Linked DNA regions of Drosophila melanogaster. The protein of the gene in region 2 interacts with the protein of the main gene of each other region in a pairwise test. Each region holds a gene or a part of one and is shown on either strand. Other genes may lie near its edges.

Region 1 (3,276 bases), on a different chromosome or scaffold from region 2:
CAAATGGCCAAGTCGTGTTTGTTGGCGAGGGTGTAGCTTTACGAGTGCTAAGTGAATGAAACAAAGTGAATTTAACTCAATCCAATTGAACCATAACGATTGAAAGTTTTCGGGGCTTATGCGGGCTGTAAAGCACTCCCCACACTTTGAATATAAATTAAAATCCAATGCACATCATTTCGCAGCTTCAACAATACCCAACTCAAAAATTGTAAAACAAAAAAAGGAGTCTGAAAAGGGCACCTCCGAAATCCGAAAACAGATGTCGGAATATAAATGCGTGCATAAATATTCGCCATGCGACAACAATTGATTCTGTTTGCTTATGCCGTTTGGAAATATTCTACTGTTTAAATAAATAATTATTTACGATCGCAGTGCAAGGGTTCAAAGGGCACGATTGGGTGGTGAAATCAAGGATATCACGTGATGGAGCTGAATGTGGACAGATTTGAAACCATGTCATATTGCTATGCTTTGATTCAATTGTGAATAAATAAGAGAAAGCTCAATAGCAGATTTTTAAAATAAATAATTAAAATATGTATAGATATACTAAACAAAAATAGGTGCTACATTTGAATTTGTTTTAAAATGAATCGCTGTTCGCTTGGCCCAGTAAACTTCTCTATCACTGGGTGATTGGTATAAAAATCGCTCATAAATCTTAACTGCAACAACCATATTTAATTACAAAACTTTTGCCAACTGTCCAGCGCTTTTCAACGCCCCCCCTACACCACCAGCTGTCCAGGATATGCGGGACACACGGGGATATGGTGGTCCTTTTTGTTTTTTGTTTTCACAACCGCGCTGCAGGCAAGGTGGACTTTCCGAGGGGCGGAAGTGGCAATGCGGAGGTTTTCATGCCGAAATTATTACGCATACCCACACACAGATGCCCCCTTAGGCTCTTTGCCATTTTTATCGACTGCCAAATGGCCAACACTTGTCCACTCATCCGCTCTTGGCCACATGGCCTCTTGGCCACATGGCCACTTGGCCTAACACTTCCGGTCCGGGGCCATAAACCGAAATCTCTTGTTTGCACTGGCCCGGAGTCAAGAAGCAATTGCCAAAAAAAAAAAAAGGAACAGAAAGCAAATGGGGGGCCGGGCCTGCGAAATCAGTTAACAGGCAATTTCAACTATTTTACAGATTGCGTACGGAATGGCCAAATGAACCGGGCCAAATGTCAATGCCATCAGTGTATGTTCGAATGGAGATCACTGTGGGAAAACTCTTTCAAAAAAACACAGTATTAAGTCTAAAAAATGACATATGTAACAATATATATTTGAAAACGAACATTAAGCATGATTGTTTTCCCCTCAAAGAATAAGTATTATATTACAGCAAAAAATAAAACAACTGCGAAGTAAAAAACAAAACATTTTGCTTACATGAACAAAACACGATACCCCAAAACCTACAACCAGACCAATTTTGGTTAATTAGCAGAGTGCCGAGAACCTCGGGGATCATGGACCATGTACCACTCAACAGATCTCAAGTGCTTTCCCTGTTCCACAGCCAGATAAAATCTGCAACTGGGCGATATAAAAAGAGCCCCGAGTGCAGCTAACATCATTCGCTAACCAGCAGAGAAGTTGAAACTGCAGAGGCATTATCGAACGCAACATGAGAGTTTGTGGGTAGCTCCGATCCAAGATCCTCCATAAAAAAAAAAAAAAACAAGGAGTTTCTTCTTATTTTTATTTTTTTTTTTTTTGTGCTTTATCCTAGACCACTTGCTGCTGATTGGATTAGTTTTGGCGACTATCGCCGGCGGTCATGAGGCTTTGGCACATCCGCCTAGAGCCGATACCCCACCGTGTACTCCTCCCCCGGATCCGTGCACAACAACAACATGCCCACCACCACCGCCGTGCACCACAACAACATGTCCACCACCAGAACCACCACCGTGCACCACAACAACATGCCCACCACCAGAACCACCACCGTGCACCACAACAACATGCCCACCACCACCACCTCCGTGCATTACTACAACGTGCCCACCACCACCACCACCTCCACCACCACCACCACCACCACCGTGCACCAGGACACCACCTCCATGCACCAGGACACCACCTCCATGCACCAGGACACCACCTCCATGCACCAGGACACCTCCTCCATGCACCAGGACACCACCCCCCTGCACCAGGACACCTCCATGCACCACCACTCCTCCCTGCACCCCACCGTGCACCACCACCAAGCCCTGCACCACAACCGTTTGCACAACACCCAAGAGCGACAACGCTGGGCCAATTGTCGACGGAAATGAAGAACAGCCCGATATAGACAATCCAGTTGCTATTGCCCAGGTGCTGATCTCGCGCCACGATTGCCGTGGCCAGGAGGACGGAACCTTCCTCGCCGACGTGCGTCACTGTCGCCGCTACTACGTGTGCAACCGTCAGAGGTCGAAGCGCCAGAACTGCCCCAACGGCTACTGGTTCGATCGCGAGCTGAAGGCCTGCCGACTGGCCAGTACCGTCAACAACTGTGACGCCAGGCGCAACTGATGTTGCTGCTGCCAATGTGGCCATGCGCACAAGCAAAGCAAATTGGCTTTAAAGAATTTTTTTTTTTTTCACTATTTCAAAGAACATAGAAGCAAAGCAAGTGTGAATTAATTGTAAACTATGCCAAAGCAATAAAGTAAATATTTCACCGATTATACAATAAATAAGAGTGAGCATTCATATTTGAGTTGAACATTAGTTGCGTGCAAAACAGTGTGACCGAATATTGCCAGCACAGGGTTACTTTGATCAATTTGAACTATGCAGCTGTGTCGGCCCTTTGATTTACTTTCGAAATCAATCAAAGCCTTTATTAATATATAGCTAAATATAGAACACGAACGATTAAGCTGTCTGGCCCGCTCTCCAATTGTCATCAATTTGCCCGGAGGCAAAATAAAGAAAACTTTCAATCAGCCGAACAAAAATTGCGAAAAAGCAAAACAAGCTCATAAATTTGTCAACACTTTTGGAGCGACATCGACTGCGAGTGGAAGTGGTAGTGGATGGTGGTAGTGCCACTCGGTCGGGTGGGGGTCAGAAAAGTATGCCACAGTTTGGTGCACATCCATATCCGTTTTATAGGCGTCAACTTTTCGGTCGAGGACTGGAAGGGCCAACAACAACAGCAATAACAGTGCGACATTTGTGAGTTAGTGTCTGTGTGGCATTACTATGTCAGGCTATTTATTATATCCTGCCACATACCACCGCCGAGCCTGTGCCACCCACATTG
Region 2 (4,576 bases):
AGAGTCCGCCGGCATTCTCCATTACCTGACGGTCAACGAGGCGAACTTGTGATCGCAGCAGCGGATAAAATAGTAGCGAGGGTGGAGGAGGCCTGCGGCCAAAGCATGCGAATGAGGAAAACGAACCGAAGGCACCACACCCTGGTTTTCTGGTGGAGCGAGGATATTGCCTTGCAGCGCATCATCAGCCTACGCGCAACGAGACTCGTACAAAGAGCTCGTGGCACCACGCGTCTGGAAGCATGCCATACGGAATACAAGGTCACAAAGAATTCACCGAAGAAAACGATTAGAGCCAGCAATCGTGAATGCTTTCTGAAAGTCTGCGTCGCAGCAGAAAGCGATCCATCTGCTCTGGAAAACATCTTTAACGTTCTGTTCCTGTTCGGTCTGCCATTCCCAATTCCCAGATCGGGCCAAGCGGAGACGAATTGCGGCCTGTCACGGAGCCCGAGATCCTAGCGGCTGAGAGGAGTCTTAAAACCAAAACGGTACCACACCCGATCGCATCCCAAGCAAACTACGAGAAACAGTGCTATGTTTGTTACCGCCTAAATTTGAAGGTTTTTTTTTTGTTTTACCAATTATTTTTAAAATATCCATGAGATCTGTTACTAATTTTTTTATTTCGATTGAAAATCATTGTAGTATTTAAGTTTAGTGAGTAAAATAATGAGAAAGTGTCAGAAAATAGAGAAAAGCTGGGACAAACACGAAATGTGCTTATGATGCTATTATTGTTACCGCAACTGTAATAAAGAGAGTTTCTTGACAGTCTTAAAAGCGTGTAAACTTGGAATTTGTTGTTTATTTTCTTGTATATTTAATATTTTTAATTTGTTTTTTGATTTATAAGTAAAATAAATATTGTTTGATTATATTTTATAAAAAAAATTGCGTTTAATTAAGCAAAAAACCCTTTATTTTTAGCTTTAAAGTCAAAAATTCAACTTATTTTACAGTGTGTAAACAGTTTCTTGACAAACTGTATGTGATATGTGATTCTAGAGACATAGGCGCCGCGCAAGTTTGTTAACCCATGTTGCCATGTGCAATCCAACGCACACATACCGGACAAAACTGCCACGTCTACACTTATGTAAAATGTTTTATTATTCTTTCATATTTTTATTTTCTTTTAAATTTCTATGAATTTGCCAGAAAACATTTTGCCATGACCACTCTAACGCTAACAATTTCAAAATGTTTTGAAATTTTTTGATTTTTGTATACAATTTCTATTAATTCGCGGCCACGGCCCTTCTTACACCTTCCAAACCGGTCAAGACCGAACTTTTGATCAATTTGAAACAATTTTGTTCTTATTTTATATCCCAGTATTTAACGATATCCCAGAAAAATGATGAATGAATTTCGTGTTCCCATTTTCACGAGCTGACTAACGGTTATCTGATTGACTCGACAATACCATTCTCTCTTCATTTGAAATTATATGTGGTATATCATTGGTATAACATTGATATTATGTTAATATGGTTTTTGCCGCCGTAAGAATAGGGTATAAGCTATTAAGTTGCTGTTCACAGTGTTCAATATTTGAGTATGTAAATATTTGATTTTCTCTTGTAAATCGTATTAACAGCTGAGTGGATGTTTGAAAATAATTAAATCAGGTTGCTTTTATAACTTAATGCAATTCATATTGATATTTTACTGATATTCTCTTTCTTAAAGGTTTAATCATGTAAACAACATCACAGTGTCTTTACTTAAGGGTGGCTTATTGATTTTAGACACATGTTATCAACGTTGGATTTTAATGCATGTTGAACAAACACGAATAAATATGCAGTCTCAAGGACAGAGCCATCAACTGCCGTCCGCGGCCCATATATTATTAGATCAAAATCCGAATTCAACAGGCAGTAACCTAGTCGTAAAACAAAATGACATTCAATCTCTTTCATCAGTCGGTAAGAAATAACCATACATTTATATATGTATGTACATACGTTTGTAATTGATTTTTTTAAAGAATACATCTAGTTAAATACTTTATACATTAATGCAAATGAATAAGTTTGACAGCGAAGACAACCACAATTAAATTAAGAAAAATCAATAAATCAAACAATTGGTTATGCCTGGCCCGAGATAGATATGTGTCTAATGTGTCTCATATTAACAACATATTAAGAGATGCATATGGTGTACGCATCTAAAAATTCACACAACATAAAAATCAGTGTTCAGTGTCTGAGCTTATTTCGTGTAGTTAAATTAATTTTTATGTTGGCATTGCTTCGATGAAAGATACCAGAAAAATGTAAACGCAATATTTTTGAAAGAATTATTGACATGGTTAAAAAACAGACGATTTCCGTATTCTAAATGTGCATCCCTCATTAAAGCCGTATCTTGTAAGGGGTATCTGGTAGTCGAGAAACTCGTCTATAATGTTATCTCTCACTCCATCTAAAATTAAATTTTTTATTGTAATTTTTTTTTTTTCTGGCTTAAAGCTTACTTTGCACTTAAATTTTTTTTCGTTCTGCTGTAGCTTGCACGTTTTTCCTTTTTTAAATTTTTGACAACATATATTACATATATGTACATATATTATTTGGTATTCATTGAAAAGTTCTTCGGTGCTTTTCGGCCTTCATTCAATACAGTATTTTCTTTTAGGGAGAAGCTTCCGCTTCTCCGCGAAGTTGGATCAATCTCGGATATTAAAATTAAAAAATTGTTAGGTTTAAAATGGCCATTTATTGAATATTAACATACTGCACAAAATAAGCTGCGGCATAAAAAACACCTTTTTGTTTTCTAAAACGATTAGAAAATTGCTTTTTTTTTATATAACAAATTTAAGAATCCGGTGCTGAAATACCTTATTGGTTTGAAACCTCTAAACTGTACGAACAAACTACAGCAGACAACTTCGGATGTGTCCTTTGAAATTTCAAGGGTTCGTTACCCTGCATATCCGTTGGTTAATCTGCACCAATTGAAGTGCTTAACACTAGTCTAATTTGTTTAAACTGTATTATTTCTAGAATATCATTGACTGCGTAGTGAGAGATCTTGAAAACTCATTGACTCGGCCCATTTTAGGGTAGTCCTGAATCTGGATGTGTATGATCTATACCTGTATTTCAATCTGCATACATATGCATGTGTCTGCAGTTCTCAGTGTGTGTCTCAATCATCTTTCCTTGCTGTACCTGAGGAATTATCTCTTGAGCATAGTATCTAGTTGCCTTCTCTAAAGTATGAAGCTTATACAGATTACTTCCTCTGATAATTGCACGAAATAATATTCAGTGTGAAGAAGGAAGTTTAAAAATAAGTTTTGTTTTCATTTTATTATTTGCCTTGCTATGTTTTATTGATTTAAAAATCTGTTGCGGAACTCGACCAAAGGGTACGGCCAAAGACACCAGAATAACAAGATGCGTAACGCCATTCGATGTGGCTCTAGAGCACTATGGGGCATTTGGCCTGTTTTTTTTACAATAATGTGTTTTTCACAAGTATGCAAATTTGAAGTATTTTAGTATTAATACATTGGAAATACGTTAAACTGTTATGATACAGCCCGCAAAAGTTAATTTTACAATGCACCGTTATAATAACAGCTGTTAAAGTCGGCTGTTGCGAGCATATATCACGTGGCTGCTTTGCGCGCAAAATTTAGCTTAACTTTCAAAGTGTTAAAATTTAAAAAGAAGAAGAAGGAGAGTATAATTTGAAATAGATAATCAATCTTTAGGTTTTTATTATGTGTTGTTATTAATATATTGTTTATTGTGTGCGCCTATTTCTAACAATTTGTACATTTAGCAAGTGGTGTCAACATGTAGTTGTTTGAAAAAATTTTAAACTTTGAATAGAGCTACAACAATTTGTTCAAATTTGTTCAGTAAGTGTTTATATCCATGTTGTAGTGTGTTCAATTTCTAACTCATATCAGGTAGTCTCTATGTGCGTTTTTTGCGGTTTCTTGAGAAATTTCATTTTTTAGGGAGCAATATCTCGATTTCCAATGCTGCCCTGCTGGAAGTGTGGCGCAAGCAAAAGGTTGTTCGTCAAAAGGAAAATTCTATTTGCACTTTTATCAGTGGGCATATTTCTGATAGCAAGCTAGACTTTAATGAACGATTAACGAATAATATTAATAACGAATGATTTCAGTCAATCTTTTGCGAAATTGGAGAAAATGCAATCGAAAAATAAATGAATTTTTGAAAGTTTTTCAAATTGGTTAGAAGAACACCTAGTCCTGAAGGTAAAGGAGAAAAATAAAAAGGAAAGGAAATTAGCTGGACTCCCGAAAACGTCATATTATTTAAAAAATTTGAGTGGCCGAAGACAGCAAGCAGATGAACTCGTAAGGGCGCAGAATCACAACGAATGTCTTTTGGTTCAAGCTGTACGGAAGTGCTGCCTGCGGGATCTTGCAGCCATACTTAAAATTCTTTTGTTGAACCCAGCCAAAGCAAAAACTATTAGTAGCTTCGCAGATGTCTTTTACAGAGCAATGGATACTACGGATCCCATAATATCATCAATAAATTTAAAGAGGCGAAAACATAAGCGACTATCTCTTCCA
Region 3 (6,524 bases), about 17 Mb from region 2:
AAGAAAACATTTTTATATAGTATCACTTTACTTTTGCCAAATAAACTTTTTCGTATTCCTTGCTATTTTATGATACTCTTATATGGCAATATGAAATTTTTAATCTTTGAAAATAATGTCATAAAGTACTCAAAATTTTAATATTTCACATTCTAAATTTAATCAAAATTGTATTATGTTAAGGCGCAGTCTAAGCCATCTGGACAAGCTGCCGAAGGCAAAGGTGGCCGAATGGCTGGCCGGGATCGACACCATTATTTGCAGCACGGATGGGGTGCTGTGGCAGGAGAATACCCCCATTGAGGGCTCTGTAGAGGCATTCAATGCCATAATTTCAAAGGGAAAGCGATGTCTCATAGCCACCAACGAGTGCTGCCTAACAAACAAGGATCTGTTCCAGAAGGCCAAGTGCCTGGGCTTCAATGTCAAGGAGCAGGACATTTTCAGCTCGTCGGGTGCCATTGCGAGTTACCTTAGCGACCGGAAGTTTAAGAAGAAAATCCTCGTTTTGGGTGGTGACGGTATCCGCAAAGATCTGAAAGAGGCCGGATTCTGTTCCGTGGTAAACGATCTGCAGCCAAATGACCAGAAAAAAATCGACTTCGTCAGGAGCTTAGTTCTCGATCCGGATGTGGGAGCTGTTTTGGTGGCCAGAGACGACAACATGATAGCGAACGAGTTGCTTGTGGCCTGCAACTATCTTCAAAATCCCAAAGTCTTGTTCCTTACCACTTGCATTGATGGATTCCAGCCATTTGGGAAAAAGAGGATCCCAGATGCCGGATCTCTGGCCTCTGCCATCGAGATAATTGTACAACGCAAGCCTATCGTTTTGGGCAAACCGAATCAGCGGATTTTGGGCAAGTTGATGAAGTCTGGCGAAATAAAGCCCGAAAAGACGCTTGTCATTGGAAACTCGTAAGTTCAATGATTACTTTTATTGAGGATCATACTTTATCCTCTTTCCTTTAGGCTTAAATCAGACATTTTATTTGCAAGTATATGTGGTTTCCAATCATTATTGGTGGGCTGCGATAACGGAGCGATCGAAAAAGCCGAGAAAATTAAAAAAGAGGGAGATGAGAAGAAAATGAAACTTGTTCCAGATGCTTTTCTCTCCGGTCTTGCTTCTTTTGGGGAGTATTTATGCATCTAGGTGATGTCGGGCAAGAAAAGCGATTTCCATATCCAAAAAACATACCCAGCTGACCAAAAAGTAATTTAGATCATATTCAAAATTCAAACTAAGCCGCTCAAAAGCTGAACAGCTGTTTTGTTTCTGAGCACTCCTGTGTGCTAAATGATTTCGGTATTTTGGCTTTTAGCACAAGTCGCGAGTCAGTGCTACCAGTATATTTGTAAATTTTTAGTTTTAAAATTTGTAATCTAAAATAGTAAAGCAAATTGCCAGTTTTCTGTTGAAACTAATAGTTTTGCATCAATAATCGCGAAGAAAAAGTTGAATTAATGTGATAATAAAAAAATACATGTTGTTGGTATATTTTTGGTATTTGATTTGATTGCTTCGTGGTCGCACTGAAAGAAGAAGAGTAATAAAACATCGAACTATCGAAGAACGATATGCCCCGATAGGTTCGGACAAGACAAAGAACAAAATGTTCTCTGCAAAAGCTGTGCTCGCTTAAAAACGCAAAAAGTCAGTGCATCTAGTGCATTGTCAGTGGTGCATAAGATTGTTCTATAAATAGCGAAAAATGAAAATAAACTGCAGGCGAAGTAGAAAAAACACCTTGAGTTGAGTGCAACGGCTGTGCGAGTGTGTGTGCGTGAGAGCGAGAGTGCGCTCGTGTGTGTGTGTACACATGCATGTTGATAAACGAAAATAAAACAAGGGACCGCCCCCCGCCGTAGAATAGCCACCCCGCAAAGTTCATCACCCTAACCAGAATCGGTGGCACTGCATCGCGCTAAATCGGCCACTTTCCATTATCCGCATCCACCGCCCCTCCCGCTCTCTGGGTCCATCATCCACCTCCTGCGAAAACAACAACAGCAACCACCAGCGCCCTTACAACAACTGTTACAAAAGAGCAAGAGAGAAGACACCCCGCACTCACACTCACACGGAAGCAGTGAGTGTCCTCGCCAGAAACTCGAATTCCCAACCAAACATCCCGAATCTGAGGCCCAAATCTTAAGCGCCAATCCGCCGGAATGGACTCGGACATCGAAATGGATATGGAATCGGACAACGACGGGGAGTACGACGACGACTACGACTACTACAACACAGGTAAGTGGAAACTAGTACCTGATCTAGAGGGGCACTTCCCCCTGACAACAATCGGCCATCGATTTAACTGTGGCCAAATTAGGGGTACGAGTGTATCTGTGAGGAAGTACACACACACATGTCGGGCTCTTGGTTTGGTTATTCACCTTTTCGGAAGGAGGCCCGCAAGACCTGGGAATTTGCATTCAGCACTTGACATTCGCCTTGGGTTCCATGACCAAACCCCACACCCCCCATTTGATCTCCGCCCTTCTTCGCTGACCATGAAGCTTAAATTATGGAATTGAACTTGAAACAAACACACACGCACGTAGCTGCACGGCGAGAAAATTGCACTGTGTAATAGGATAAATGTTTAGTTTTAAAATGTCAAATCTAGGCCAAACTAAATGATTACATTTGGTACATTTCCCAAAGCAATTCTAATGATGATTTGATACCTCAATTTAGAGAATTATGTGATAGGGCTTGATTTTCAAATGGTTTTATAACATGAACTCAAATCAATATTGATTTAAAAGGGGCAAAATAATATAAGAATATTACTAAAGACTTGATTTCTCTCAGTGCATGGGCAAGTACAATTGGTAGTTGCGAGTTGGGACTGATTGCGAGGCTTGTGTTTTGTGGCTGGCTTCATTATTGCCCGCCACTCTGCTCACGCTCTTCGTAGCTCCACAACCCACACAAGCACACATTAACACACACACCACGAACACCAGCTCAGGTGCGTGCTCAAGTACGCAGTTGCATTCTGTTGTGTGCCGCTGTTCCGTCAACTCGGTCTCCGCTTCTTGACCTGTCCCTTATTGTTCCGACCTGGCCAAGACGCCCCCTAACTCAACCTTCAATCGGATACCTCATATCGGTAACATCGTAACGTCGAGCACTTCTATGGCAGCCTTGTCGCGCGGTTGTTTTCTCGAATTAGCCAATGTGACTAACAAAATGCAAACATGATTACCGGCTGCATACACTGTAATCCCTTTTGATCCATACATGTCAGATTAACATAGAAGATATTCCCAAAGTAATAATGTTTCGTCGGTTTCAACCGATCAATGTAAGTCAGCCATTGCTTAACTTACAAACTCAACTCAACCTTCGTAACTCTGGAACCAGTTTTGTACAATAAGGGATTAAAAGTGCCCTATTGTATATAACTGCAACTGCTAACTCAGGGTTCGTTTGAAATCCACCCTTGCTGTCTTTCAGTCTGATTTTGGTTTAAAATACAATCAGTTAGCTTAAATAACCAAAAGAAAAAGTGGAAACTGTCCTATCAAAGCATAATAGATTTATGATTTATAAATGTTATAAAGTTCAATTATATTATAATACTAATATCCTTTTCTTCTTCAGGCGAGGACTGCGATGTGGAGCGTCTGGATCCGAAGCGGGCCGACCCGGAGTACTTTGAGTACGAGTGCCTAACCGTCGAGGACATCGAGAAGCTGCTGAACGAGCGCGTGGAGAAGCTGAACACCATCCTGCAGATCACACCCTCGCTGGCCAAGGTGCTGCTGCTGGAGCACCAGTGGAACAATGTGGCCGTCGTTGAAAAGTACCGCCAGGACGCCAATGCACTGCTGGTGACGGCGCGAATCAAGCCGCCATCGGTGGCAGTGACGGATACGGCTTCGACGAGTGCAGCGGCGGCCAGTGCCCAACTGCTCCGACTGGGGAGCAGCGGGTACAAGACGACGGCATCGGCGACACCACAGTACCGCAGCCAGATGTGTCCCGTTTGTGCCAGCTCGCAGCTGGGCGACAAGTTCTACAGCCTGGCGTGTGGGCACTCGTTTTGCAAGGACTGCTGGACCATATACTTCGAGACGCAGATCTTCCAGGGAATCTCCACGCAGATCGGCTGCATGGCCCAGATGTGTAATGTTAGGGTGCCCGAGGACTTGGTGCTGACGCTGGTCACGCGACCCGTTATGCGGGACAAGTACCAGCAGTTTGCATTTAAGGACTACGTCAAGTCACACCCGGAACTCCGCTTCTGTCCCGGGCCCAACTGCCAGATTATTGTGCAATCATCGGAGATCTCCGCCAAACGTGCCATTTGCAAGGCTTGCCACACGGGCTTCTGCTTCCGGTGCGGCATGGACTACCACGCACCCACCGACTGCCAGGTGATCAAGAAGTGGCTGACCAAGTGCGCCGACGACAGCGAAACGGCAAACTACATCAGCGCCCACACCAAAGACTGCCCCAAGTGTCACATCTGCATTGAGAAGAACGGCGGCTGCAACCACATGCAGTGCTTCAACTGCAAGCACGACTTCTGCTGGATGTGCTTGGGCGACTGGAAGACGCACGGCTCCGAGTACTACGAGTGCTCTCGCTACAAGGACAACCCCAACATTGCCAACGAGTCGGTGCACGTGCAGGCGCGCGAGGCGCTGAAGAAGTACCTGCACTACTACGAGCGCTGGGAGAACCACTCCAAGTCTCTGAAACTCGAGCAACAGACGATCGACCGGCTGCGCCAGCGGATCAACTCGAAGGTGATGAACGGCAGCGGCACCTGGATCGACTGGCAATACCTCTTCAACGCGGCGGCACTGCTGGCCAAGTGTCGATACACGCTGCAGTACACCTATCCGTACGCCTATTACATGGAGGCCGGTTCGCGAAAGAATCTCTTTGAGTACCAGCAGGTGAGTCGCAGTTCGGCTATTCTTTAACTGGTTGCCCAATAATGTATTAATTCCGTGCAGGCACAACTGGAGGCCGAAATCGAGAATCTGTCGTGGAAGATAGAGCGCGCCGAGACAACGGACCTGGGTGATCTCGAGAATCAAATGGACATCGCTGAAAAGCGCCGCACCACGCTACTGAAAGACTTCTTCCCAGTGGACGCATAGGCAACCGTCGAGCTTCCAGGGCCACCAGAACGGACAGCCTGTCTTGTTTAGCACAAACACTCTTTGATTGACTGCTGACAGGTCGACGTGACGCGACAGTATAGAGACGCTTATTTAAATTAAATTATACACATATTTACATGTATCCATCTAGTAGTAGGCCCAACGACGTGTAGCTAATTTTTAAATTAAACTAATAATCAAGTGCATATAGACTAGAAAACGTAGCATAGAGCATAGTCGACTACTCGAAGTATAATTACTATAGTTGTGACATTCGAAATCACTCAAAATGATCGGTGTAACTGCAATACAACGCCTTGCGCAGAACGTTAACGATATACAGTATCTATAGCTAAAGCCCTAGCGATACCGATACCGGTAGCTATACCATAACTATAAAACTAACTTTAAATCTAGCAACTGACTAACTGACAAACCAGACGCATTTCAGTGGCCAAGTGTTCCAACAGTTTTCCAAAAACTAGCCCAAACGACCCGATGAAATGCAGAAACAGTAACAATTCTAAATGTATAGCGCCGCAAGTCAAGCAATTATAGATCAAAGACCGCCTAAGCAGATCGGCTCATCGGTTAGACCCTAAGTTTTAAACCTTGTATTAGCCCCGCGTGAACAGCATCAAGTATTCGCAATCTGTATCTCGTAACTAATCGCAGCACATCAATCGAACGCAAAAGTCTTAAGTAAGAACGAAGATAGATACTCCCCGTCCCCGATCCCGTTCCTTTTGATTCTCACTCGATTCTCGATTAACTTTGTAAGCTGAATCATAAATTATATTCTAGGATTACGCTATGTATGTATGCTTATGCGACTGAATTTGAATTAAATTTACACTAGATATACAACTATTCAACTGACTTTTCGACTGTGGGCTGCAAGCTTACGATTTGGGTCTTGTGCTTAAAGCTTTGGAGAAGCTCATACGAAGCTTGGATTGAGTGTTTTAAGGATAAGCTTTCACTCAAGTTTCAAGTTTGGGTTTTGAGCCGAGTTTATTTTTTTTAGTGATTGAGTACGAGCTATATTCCAACTTATCTTCCTTGATTTCGTTGTTATTCAGATTGGATGTGCTTAGTTAGTCTTCGATGATGTTTTTGCTATTATTTTTTACCCTTTTTATTGCCGAACAGTGAACTCTTTCTGCTGCTCTTCCGGCTCTTTCGGCTCTTCCGGCTCTTCCTGCTCATCCGACTCATCCTAACATCAGGCGCCAAAGGTGGTTTCTGCTTCGCAAGTTGGCTGGCTAAGGTGAACAACCGGCACTCGGAATGCTCCTTCAGCAGACTGTTGGCGAACTTCTTGACTCCCGATATCTTGGTCACCCTCACGTTGTTCATATTTTCCACTTTCTTGGCGGGATAGACCTCCACTT
Region 4 (3,878 bases), on a different chromosome or scaffold from region 2:
CTTACAAATTGGATCATTACATATTTGCTTTATCACTTGCTCACAGGTGCTCACAGCTAATCACATGGAGCCCGTGAAAGGCTTTCTGGGTCGCTTCCTGAGGCGTCGACTCTTCCAGCTGGAACTGCAGACGCAACATCCGCAGCCGGAGCTGGCGGCAGTGCTGGCCTGGTTGCCCTCCGTTTGGCAGCACATCAACCGATTCCTGGAGGTGCACAGCTCCAGTGATGTAACCATTGGGCCGAGGCTATTCCTCGCCTGCCCAATGGACCTGAAGGACTCGCAGGTGTGGTTCACCGACATCTGGAACTACCACCTCTCGCCATACTTGGTGGAGGCGGTGCGCGAGGGAGTTCAGCTCTATGGACGACGAGGAGGTGCCTGGAACGACCCCTCCGCCTTCATTAGGAACTCCTATCCGTGGCCATACGGTCCGGACTCAGTGCCTCCACTACGGCAAATCAATGCCGAGGATGTGGGACTCGAAGGCGTGGCCCTAACCAACGGTGACCAACAGGATCCCTTGGTAAGATACAGGACTAATATTGCTCCTTTGATTTTCAACTAATGAGGCGTTTCGTCAACAGCTCAACATGCTGATGCGCCTGCAGGAGGCGGCCAACTACTCGGAGGCCCAGGATCAGGAGTCCGATTGTGCCAGCCTGGACTCGAATGTTACGCCCGAAAGTTCCGCTGGAGCCGAGTGAACAGCTATAGAAACCAACCACTTCGTACATGCCAAATTTAGATGAACTAACTGAGAGGAGTACGCCAGCTGAGGGTCCAAGATATGCACCCAAGATATCCTTGCCCCCGCACAAATGAGACTTCTTGCACTACTTTCGCAGCGAGGTTCAAAAGCAGTTCCAAGAGTTTTCCATTTGCACCACGTCACCAACCTTTCCAATCATCGTTTCTAGCCACTCCCTGCCATCTAGAGTAAATTGCACTTTTTAGCGCACTTGTTAAAAATGCAAATTGTCCTAGCCACAAACTGAACCTGATAACGAAGCACTACCATCCCAAAAAGCAAGGACCCCGGCTGCGTTTCCGAAAAACCCAAATCTTGAGAAAAGGAAACTTCACTAACATGAAATGTTACAGAGATAAGACGAGTGAATTCATTTTTGTACATATAGATGAAAACTAACCCCAAGTCCCCCCTATGCTTAAGTGTGAATCTGACCGACGGTCTAGACTTTTTATACCCTTTATCCCAGCCCAGAGTCGGCGGATCATATGAATTAAATCGCAACTAATACCTAACTCTACTGTAAATGTAGCTATAAGTTTTTGCTACTACCAATTTACAAGATGTATAGTTGAAGGAAAAAGCTTTCACTTTAGTTTAATTATTTGCGTAATTATCATTAAATATTGTTACAAACATATTGCATATTTATAAAGCCCAATAAAGCAAAATACCATTAACATATTTATTATGCCAAGCGGCGCTTAAACACAGGAATACGCGAAAGTGAATACGTAATGCCCCATCCTCGATAAAATAGCTAAATTTCCGAACTCCAGATCCCTATCGAAAGATAATCTTATGTAATACAAACTCAAGCAGCAAACTATATGATACGATAAAGCAAATTATGTGTCTCTGTCTAATTTAAATGTGTGCATTTATGAGATATGACATCAAATCAAAATAAAATATAATATCGAACAATAATTGTTTTGTTGTTGTTTCTCTTCTCGCGGACAGACTACAAAAAGAATGTGAAATACCAAACCAAATATTTCACCATGCTGCGAAATAAAATAAAACATAATAGTTGCCCTTATTTGCTGTTTCTTTATTTTAATATATTTAGATTTAAATACCCCGCCGAATTCCGATTGCTAGCGATTGAATATATCGATATATTAATATTTATATTTTTTCATTCGAGATGTGGTCACACTTCTCTGCATGAAAATACCAAAATATCGAGCAATAATTACCCATCCATATATATATTTTGTTTTGTATATTCCCTCTGGTCACATTGTTCAGCAAGTCTAAGAAAAGTAGGTAAAAGTGCTTTAAAAATTGTATTAATTGCGAAAAATATCAAGTACCTGCGACCACAAAGCTATTGAATACAACGAGCGGGATAAGCAAGCCGACATAAATTGGAAAACCAGTTGCCACCGGTTTATAAGCCGTTTTCCGGTAGATGCAACCGCCCACCGATTACACAACATCTGTGATGGCTGTGAAAAATGGGAGAATTATGCGGATATTATGCCAAACACAGCACGAAATCGGGATAAATATATGGCGACAGGCGTAGAGGAACCTCAAAACAATGCGATTTTTATGGAAATAGATTCTATAACTTGGCACGTAGTTCTGCTAGCTGTTACATAACCTCCAACTAAGTGGGCACCATATATCGGTGAATTCGTAACCCGTTAGAATTCACGGATGACCGCCTGGTCGGGTGGGAAATTTGGCTATCGCGGGTCCAAGACCCTATGTTCCTCTGCTGATACCTCATAAATTGATATTCATTTTACTACCTTGCAGACTCTGTGAGAAAATGGCCCTGCGACTACTCAACAGTGCTGTGCTCCGCCAGCTGGCCTCTCAGCTGCCCAAGAGTGCCCAGGTGGGCAGCGTGGCCGCCGTCCACACACTGGACAAGATCGGCAAGCGGGAGATCGTTGGCTACGGCTGGAACGGCACCGCCTGCTACGCGGATCGCGTGGACTACCCTCTGCCCGCCGTGCGCTTCCGTGAGCCCACCAACGAGATCAACGCTCTGCGCGCCAAGGAGCAGGGAGACTGGAAGAAGCTCAGCACCCAGGAGATCAAGGCCCTGTACCGCGCCAGCTTCTGCCAGACTATCGCCGAGGTCCAGGCTGGATCCGGGGAGTGGAAGCTCCACCTGGGCGTTTCACTCCTCTTCTGCGCCGCCGCCATCTGGGTGGCCGTACTGATGAACATCTTCGGTAAGCCATTTTTCCGGTTCCCTTTTGCGGCTATCCATTATTGAGCATTTTCCTTTCAGTGTACGATGAGCTGCCCGTTACCTTCGATGAGGAGCACCAGAAGGCGCAGCTGCAGCGCATCATCGACCTGGAAATCAACCCCGTCACCGGATTGACCTCCAAGTGGGACTACGAGAACAAGAAGTGGAAGAACTAAGTGCGCTGTCGTTAAATAATTCCGCGATTGTGTGTGATTAAGTTAGCCGACGTCTATGTGTATTAAGTAAAAGCAAGATAGTCGAAATTAAAGTTATGGCTGCTGCCTAAATCAATCGATCTTGGGTCAGTCATCAGTTTCTGCTAGGAAACCAGCCTCAATGATCCGTTTTAAGAGCAATGATTGTTATTCGATTTATTAACAGACCTTTTAGTGTGTAGATTACAAACTTTTCGTTACTAAAATCGCCACAGGCATAGCCAATTTAATTACCACTTAGTGAGACCTTTTAGCACTCTTATGTCTCATGTTCCGGCTGTTCGATTTTTGAACCTCATGAACAAGGATCTGCAAGGCTTCCAAGGCATTTGTGTTCTTGGCAAATTCCCTTTCAAACATGCGGCCGAATCTTAAGATCAATGGTTTCAGTTCCGGCGTTATCATTGCTTTCTCTTTTTCGGTCCTAAAAAGGCGGATTTCAAAGGCATTGCCAGACATATAGGCGAACACTACTTACACAGCTCCCTTTTTTATCACCTCTTTCAGGATCTGGACAACCGTTTGAATGTCCCCAAATAATCTGTACTTGTCTTTGGTAGAAATTTCACCGTCAAAGAATAACTTCAGTTCGTTGTCAGTTATATTCTTCTTTCGACCCCATTCCTCCAGCTCTGCCGTCTCTTTTTGGTAGGCGCTCCGAGCTCTGCTGAAAAGAAGTCAGGCATTCCTTGATCTC

Evidence for each region.
Region 1: the proteins of sxc (region 2) and CG34324 interact in a two-hybrid assay, tested with the Drosophila melanogaster proteins (one large-scale study listed by BioGRID).
Region 3: the proteins of sxc (region 2) and ari-2 interact in a two-hybrid assay, tested with the Drosophila melanogaster proteins (one large-scale study listed by BioGRID).
Region 4: the proteins of sxc (region 2) and COX4 interact in a two-hybrid assay, tested with the Drosophila melanogaster proteins (one large-scale study listed by BioGRID).

Annotation. Positions count from the first base shown.
Region 1 is NC_004354.4:13,455,977-13,459,252, reverse strand, and holds CG34324 (uncharacterized protein), read left to right. Parts: upstream 1-1,589; 5' UTR 1,590-1,641; coding exon 1,642-1,651; intron 1,652-1,746; coding exon 1,747-2,540; 3' UTR 2,541-2,719; downstream 2,720-3,276.
Region 2 is NT_033778.4:5,305,719-5,310,294, forward strand, and holds the start of sxc (super sex combs), read left to right. Parts: upstream 1-1,569; 5' UTR 1,570-1,780; coding exon 1,781-1,934; intron 1,935-4,576.
Region 3 is NT_033778.4:22,211,266-22,217,789, forward strand, and holds ari-2 (ariadne 2), read left to right. Parts: upstream 1-1,569; 5' UTR 1,570-2,175; coding exon 2,176-2,254; intron 2,255-3,616; coding exon 3,617-4,920; intron 4,921-4,980; coding exon 4,981-5,127; 3' UTR 5,128-5,999; downstream 6,000-6,524. Other genes in the region: CG11291 (uncharacterized protein), read left to right, coding at 176-918, 973-1,156; CG30278 (uncharacterized protein), read right to left, coding at 6,253-6,524.
Region 4 is NT_033779.5:19,956,746-19,960,623, forward strand, and holds COX4 (cytochrome c oxidase subunit 4), read left to right. Parts: upstream 1-1,967; 5' UTR 1,968-2,023; intron 2,024-2,086; exon of another isoform or gene 2,087-2,521; 5' UTR 2,522-2,534; coding exon 2,535-2,946; intron 2,947-3,005; coding exon 3,006-3,142; 3' UTR 3,143-3,320; downstream 3,321-3,878. Other genes in the region: sick (sickie), read left to right, coding at 47-526, 588-707; CG34051 (uncharacterized protein), read right to left, coding at 3,419-3,605, 3,660-3,848.